Caenorhabditis elegans: one gene and its partner. The protein of the gene in region 1 purifies or fractionates together with the protein of each later gene. This does not show direct contact. Each region holds a gene or a part of one and is shown on either strand. Other genes may lie near its edges.

Evidence for each region. Proteins that work in one complex are often made in the same cells at the same time.
Region 2: the proteins of srbc-16 (region 1) and K08B5.1 fractionate together in Caenorhabditis elegans (co-fractionation; one large-scale study listed by BioGRID). This does not show direct contact.

What each region holds. Positions count from the first base shown.
Region 1 is NC_003283.11:2,180,046-2,183,645, reverse strand, and holds srbc-16 (Serpentine Receptor, class BC (Class B-like)), read right to left. Parts: upstream 1,609-3,600; coding exon 1,237-1,608; intron 1,115-1,236; coding exon 908-1,114; intron 862-907; coding exon 766-861; intron 717-765; coding exon 618-716; intron 575-617; coding exon 455-574; downstream 1-454. Other genes in the region: cyp-33C2 (CYtochrome P450 family), read right to left, coding at 1-125; cyp-33C1 (CYtochrome P450 family), read right to left, coding at 1,887-1,985, 2,037-2,348, 2,458-2,668, 2,727-3,031, 3,075-3,436.
Region 2 is NC_003284.9:16,556,853-16,560,685, forward strand, and holds the start of K08B5.1 (G-protein coupled receptors family 1 profile domain-containing protein), read left to right. Parts: upstream 1-1,581; 5' UTR 1,582-1,591; coding exon 1,592-1,823; intron 1,824-2,086; exon of another isoform or gene 2,087-2,181; intron 2,182-2,390; coding exon 2,391-2,489; intron 2,490-2,532; coding exon 2,533-2,675; intron 2,676-3,322; coding exon 3,323-3,394; intron 3,395-3,833.

The sequences.
Region 1 (3,600 bases):
GCGATAGACAACAAATTCCCAAAAACTGGCAGCGGACATGGCCCGGGTGGAAAGTTCCTCCGCTTCCAATACAACTCATAAACAAGGTAGACAGTGAGAACAGTCAATAACAAAATAATCAACATCGCTGTAGAAATCAGACATTTCCAGCCCGCAATGTTATTCGCTTATGTACCGGTCGCCCGGGCGTGTTCATGGTTTGTGACACGTGGAGACGCAGATGTCGAGATATGTGAGAGGGGTATTAGGTAAGGGAGAGGTAGTCGTTGGGAATAATAACACAGAGAAGTTGAGTGTGTTGTGGAGTTTGTGCTACAGGTATTTTGTTGGGAGAATTAGAGGGGAAAAGATAATGTCAATTTACTACTAATTCCATCCACTTTCCGCTGATTAAAAAATCAGAATAGAGAATATTTATTATGTAGCCTAGATTTTTTTTTTCAGATTTTTCATTTTAGATAACATTAACAGTGCTCGTTTTTGTTCCGCTCTTCTTTCTTAATGTCCCAAAAACCAGCAGAGCTTCCAAGGCACAACCCCACATTTTTGATACCACTCCAATTGGCCCAATATTCTGAAAATTTAAAATTTAGATATTGGATTAAAATCATCTCCGCCTGTGCTGTAAACCAGTGCTTGAACAAAAACGCAAACAGAATTGGTGAAAAGTGAAAAATAATCACGTTAGCCGCATCGATAAGAGCTAGAAGGTTAGCCTGTAACAGTGTAAATTATGAAGGGTTAGTAAAAATCGGGTATACATACTTTGGACAGGGTTTTCTGCTCAGTTGAGTCTTTGTTAAGAAAAAATAATTTCGTGGATAGTAGTATTGCAAACATTACAGTCAAAATATAAGCTGTCTTAATTATATGAGATATTCTAGATATTTTAGCCGGGAAAACAAACCCCTTTATTGATGCTGTAATATTTATTGAAACAAGCATTAATACAACATCCCAAAGCAGCACACTCCTTTGGAACGTTGACCTGGTAGTCGCAAATATTAAAAAGAACGAAGATGTCAGAAGCTCCGAAGCCAATTGCAAAAATTGGAATCACAAATGTTGGGAAATACGGGCGGTAGTTGCGGTAGGTTATCGGTACATATACAGCCTGAAATTACTATTTGTGACTTCTACGTTGTTATAAACTTTTCTATCACAAATACTCTTTTGAATAATTTGCAAACTATTTTAAAAAAACCAGTTTTAGCTGTTTCTCAGCACAGCACGTACCATCACACGTTCCACCGAAATTGTCAAGGCGGTCAACGACCTAGCCGCTCCGATATTCCAAGATACCAGGGAAAAATAAAAAATCATATTTCTCCATGGTAAAAATTCATCGTGAAAACTAGTTAAAATAATATAAAATCCTAAATGAGCGACAACCGATGCACCAAGAATTACATCGAAGAAAAAGCGAAACTTGAAAAGGATTAAATGTTTTTTCTTTCTGAATATGGATTTGAATGTAGAAAAAAGTTTTAATGCTGAAAATTTAAATAACCTTTCAATTTGCTTCAACAAAGAAATATTCAATACGCATGTAAAAATTGACGGTAAAAGTCCAATCATTGAGATTATCACAGGCGTTGTGACATTCATTTTCAGTTAGTTTTTTTTGTTAAAATGAATTGTTTGACAAGTCAAGAATTATGTTTTTCGGTCAGTTAATTAATTCGAAAACAAAAAGAAAAAACTGAATTAATTTACTTTCTTGGAAGTCAGTTTTATGAAATCCGGAAAAACACCAACCTACAGACAAACTTCAGAAATCACGGTAAAATGCAACGAGTATGTCAAGGTAGGTGGAAGATCATTAATTAATTTTGAAATTTTGCGATAAAATTTAAGCATTTATGAAACCCAAAAACATTGCGATCTTAGAATCTTCTTGTTAGAATCGCAGTGAACAACCTCGGAGCAACCACTGGTCCGCTGCCTTTGGCCATTGACGGTAGGCCTTCTTTTGAGGGATGTATCTGCAAAATCGTTTTCATCTAAAGTTTTCATAACGCGATAGGCTAACTCACCTTGTATCTATTCAAAAAATTAGCAATGAAAAGGAAAAGCTCCATCCGAGCAAGGCCTTCTCCCGGGCAACTTCGTTTTCCGACTGAGAACGGGGCGAGCTCGTCTACCTTCTTCAATTTCCCATTTTCATCGATAAATCTGTCTGGATTAAAAGTGTACGGATCTGGGAACACTTCCTCATTATTCATAACGGTACTAATTTGGGCAACCACTCCAGTGCCCTTGGGGATTTTGAACCCATCTATCACAGTATCACGGGTGGTTGCGTGCTGCAAGTTCAGGGGGAGAATGTTGATACCTCGTTGTGATTCCTGAAATATTTTGCACATTAATTAGTAAAATTTAAACTTGGAGTATAACGTGTACTAAAAGGTACTCTAGAAACCTTGAAAACGCGTTGAGAAACCCGCCCGTGCTTACATTTATAGACGCGTTGAAGTACGGAAGATCATTCTTATCAGCTGTGGTGATAAGCCTATCACTTCCAATCACTTTGTCTAGTTCCTCATGAATCTTATCCTGAACCTCTGGATGATGCAAAACGTAGCTGATTGCCCATGTTATAGTGTTTGTTGTGGTGTTGAGGCCCGCAAACCAAAGATCAATGCAAACATTCAAAAGCTGGATATTACTGAAGTTTAAATTTTTACTGTTAGCTCAAAATTATAATATATTCCCATATTTCCTACCTATAAGTTTCAGAATCACCCTCGCTTTCACGTCTTTTCTGCTCTTTCAAAAAGGTCTCTACAAAATCTGTGCTCTCTGAGTTCAAATCTTCAAAATCTATTCGGTGCCGATGTGCCTCAATTTGTTTATTAAAAAATGCTAATGTAGTATCCCGGAAAGTTTTGATTGGTCCTTCGTATAAAGATTCGGGCAACAGCTTTGCAAATATTGGAATATTCATGGCTAGAAATATGTGAAGTTTTCCGAAAATTTCCGCTGGAGAATCAATAATATGTTTTAATTCCTGATATTCATTTTCTTTGGGCTGAAACTCATCGGTTAGGCAATGCTAAAAATTTCTATGAAACCCCCATAAATCTGTATCCAAAAAGAAGTTGATTAACCACATTCGCAACTGCATGATCGAAAACTTCCGGAACATCCGTCTCGGATCCCAGTTTTGCATCTAGCCTCGCAAAAACATCCTGCACCTCCATCAGAATATTTTCCTGCATTAAGTTCTTCCCAAGACCAAAATCTCTCATTGTAGAAAGTGCAAACCGTCTGTGCTCTCGCCACATGGCTCCATTCGAATCGATAATTCCGTACTCGCCGCCGCGGGACAACGTCACCATAGGGAGTACGACCTTGTTTGTGTATGTGTCGGCGTCACGAATGAAGGTCTCTTTGATCTTGTCCCATGTGTTGATCATTATGTGAGGAGTGTTACCTGAGTCGTCGGAATTTTAATAAGGCTGATCGACAAACAAAAAAACAAAAAAAAAGTGGCCACACGTAGTGTCAGGCTGTCCCATTACGGTTTGATCTACAAAAAATGCGGGAATGATTCCCAAAAAATGTGGTGTCAACACGTTCTTAAACATGCAAAATCAG
Region 2 (3,833 bases), on another chromosome or scaffold:
TTGCACTTTTCGTTATTTTTTTCTGATAAGATCTCTCCGCTATCAGAATCCATAGTAGTGATGCCCATGATAGTATGCTGCTGGCCACCAGGCGGCAAGATCTATCACTTTTCCTATCCCCTCGGACGGATGGATGTCAGCTTCATCTCCTTTTGCTTCTCCTTCTCCACTCTTCCTTCTTCTACAGCAAAAGCCATTCATATCAGTCACTCACTTCTGGAGAGACAGACACTTAGACCAGTTCTTTCCTTCGTGTCTCTACATCTCTCAGGCTCTAGCCCATTGATCGCCGGTTTTGTATTCTTGCTGTGTTTACTGTTAGATGGGCTTAGGAGCTATATTTTAATTTTTAACATTCCGTATGGCTTCGTTTTGTGTAAGCGCATTCAGTCTTCATTAAATTTGACAATTGGCATATAATGCGAAATGTCATGACAAATCTCTCATGGAAAAATTATCGTTCTGAAAATTTTTTTCAATTACATATTTTTACTTTATTTCTTTGATGAAAGGCTGGTATGTTATAAGTGCCTACCTACCGCCTATCATCTGCATATTGTCGTGAACTTCGGTGCTCGGTATTAGGTGCGTGTAGATTCAAAATTTTCCCATTTTCTTATTACAATCAGTTTTTTTAAATTCTAATAAAGATATGTAGGCAGGTAGGTATGTGTTTTTGCTAAGAGTTTCACGGGTATTTTCTTATATTTTGAATTGTCTACTGCTTATTAAAACAACAGAGTTTTCTTCTAATTTTTACCATTTATCAACATCAGTGGTTTGAAGAGTTGGAAACTTTAAAAAAATTCAAACCCCGCCCCTACATTCGTCTAAAATTTTATGTAGTTTTTGGAAGAACCCTTTACTAAATTTTGTACTTTTATTTTATAAATTTACAGTTTCAGTAAATTTTTAATGAGACGTTATAATTTTTTTGTCATATTTTTGTTGTAATAAGGCTAATAATGTGCATTATTTGAGCTCCCATTTATTACAATACACTTTTCAATAATGCACACTTCAGTATCTACTAAAATTCTACTGAAACGACATGAAAGATTCGAAAATTGTTTGGAACTAAAGTTCACCTCTCTTCACCCGCCATCCCATTTTTCTTCTCATTTTTCATTTTCAAATCACCAAGACACAATCATACGCACGATTCTCACAAAACGTAAATTCCCCATTATCGGTCAACCTTTCTTTTCTGATATCAGAAGGAAACGAAAAACAGATTTCAAATGGTTTCTCTCCTTGCATTTGCTTCCTTCATCATTAAAGTTGCATGTAAAAAAATATTTTTGGTTTTACTAGTTGCTAGTAACTTTTTTGAACCTTTTATAAGACCATCTATTTTTATCACAATTAATTCCAAATCCGTCTCGATGTCAATGTCGAAAAAAACCCTTAAAAAGAGATAAGAGAAAAAGATTGACTAAGCCATGATATATCCTTTATCAGCTGATTATCCCCCTCCTTCGTTATCATGATCGCAATCATTGGAACTCGTTTCGTCTTTCTTGGTGTCAACAAAACATTCAATTATGTTGATTTTATGCTTTACTCAATCTTTTAAAATCAGGAAAACGTTATGGACAAGAAGTACATGAACTGCACACGATGTGAACTTTGTGGAACTGCAGACGTCATTTATGGGTCCACATTTATGGAGTATTCGATTCTTCTCCGGTTACTGACCGCTCCCTTGGCAACAATGGGAATGGGCTTGCTATCAGCGACAATTGTCAAAACAAAAGGGATTCATATCAATACGAAAGTGATTTTATTGGTTTTGTGTATTTCTGCAATTATTTGTAATACAGGTATGTTTGCAATTTTTAGTTTACGGAAAACCAAAATCATGAAAGGGGTTTTCTTTAAAAATAAAATAAAATTTGAAAAAAAATTTGTTCCTATAATACTTCTAAATTTAAATGATGTTCTTACTTTACTGTTCTTTGAAACTACACTAAATTGTTTTATATTGTCAAGTTACCTGACGACGAACATGATGACTCATGATTAGTTTCTTAATTTATTTTTCACTGCTACTGATTTATATTTGCCAATCTTCGAACATTTTCTCGTCTCCGTTGTGGTCTAGTGGTTAGGATTTATGGCTCTCACCCATAAGGCCGGGGTTCGATTCCCCGCAACGGAATAACTTTTTTGAATATTTTTTCATGATTGTTTCATTATTGCAGAAAACTTATTACAAAAAAGTAAAACATGTTCATTTTTTATGTCTTCCAAATAGTTAGTCAGAGAAGTACAAAAATTGAATGAGACTGGAAAATTAAGTAAAATGGTATTCAAAAAATTGAAATCAGTACGAGCTTATTTAAGAATGCTCACTTCTTTTTTTTTTGAATTTAACTTTTGATATTCAGGTATAACCGTGGATTGTCTGTATAAATTTTTCATATCCAATGTCATGCCGGATTATATGCAATGTGATTTTCAAGTATTCAGTCCACAATATGGATTAGGTAAGCATCAGTGAAAAATCACATCATTTCAAGTTCGTTTCAGTGATCAGACACATTGAAATGCTTGGGGCAATGTGTCTATCTACATCCTCCGTAGCACTGGCTGTTGAACGAACAGTGGCTACGATTTTTTATCGCAATTACTCTCCAAAACCTACACTCGGATCAATTCTCGTCGTTGTCCAGGTATCAAATTAAAACGAAAACATACGAGAAAAGAAACAGAGGCCGAGTGAGAGATAGAGACGATGATGATGGTTTTTTGAACATCACGTTCCCTTAAATTCTCTCCTATTTTATTTCCCTTTTCCCTTTATATCCCGTCGGCGGTCAGCCATCTCTGATCACTACATTCTAAGAATAGAAGTGGGATCTGCGAGATGAACGAGAAAGAAGTGATAAAGGAAGAAAAATGTTTTACTGATAATATAGTATTTGAAAAAAAACAGAACAATAGTTTTGAAAACGGGAGATGGACAAAAAATGGCAAAATTTTGAAATATTCTCATAAGCTCACTAATATACACAAAATGAAAATTCGTGCTCAAATTTTTCTTACACAACCCTTGAACACAGCTAATTGCGCATAATGCAGCCACATTGCAATCTAGAAAAAAGTACAATCACTTTTTTGGCAATGTGTGCATTGTGCTTCCAAATTGATTTGGATGGTTCTTGATAGATACAATTTAATACTCACTTAATAACACAATTTAACAGTGAAGTATTCATCTGTGCCAAAAATTTAAAGATTAATCTTCAACCATATCATAGGAACAACAAAATGTAGATAGAAAATATTTGCATACATTTCAAATTAATTCTCGTTTCAGGTACTGGTCAGCTCCATCCCATTCTGGAACATCAGACTGCCCAAACAAATGTACCCATATTCACCGCCAGAGGTAAGAATTGAAAAACCTGAAATAAGCAGTTTTTTTGAAGATTTTTTTTTCTTGAACGGTTTTCAAGTTTAATTTATCCATAGAATAACAACTTTGCTAAAGTATCCACAAAGTATTGCTTGTCTGGGAAACTACAAAAAGCGGAAGTACGGTAAGCGCGTTCAGAGCGCTGTTTACATTTCAAAAACAAAATTTTGCGGAAGATTGATATTGTTTCTAAAGCTATAAAATATAGTTAAGAATCACACAATATTCATAAATCTGTTATAAAAAATTAACTTTAATTCATAATTGTCTTGCCCACAAAATGACTATCTAAAAAACAGTGTTACATACAATATTAATAACAGGAACACAATAATTTAGGGCTTCCATGTTGGAGCCGCGATCGGAAATCTTTATAGCGATGCGCGGAACCCAAAAAGTGTCGGACGCAAAG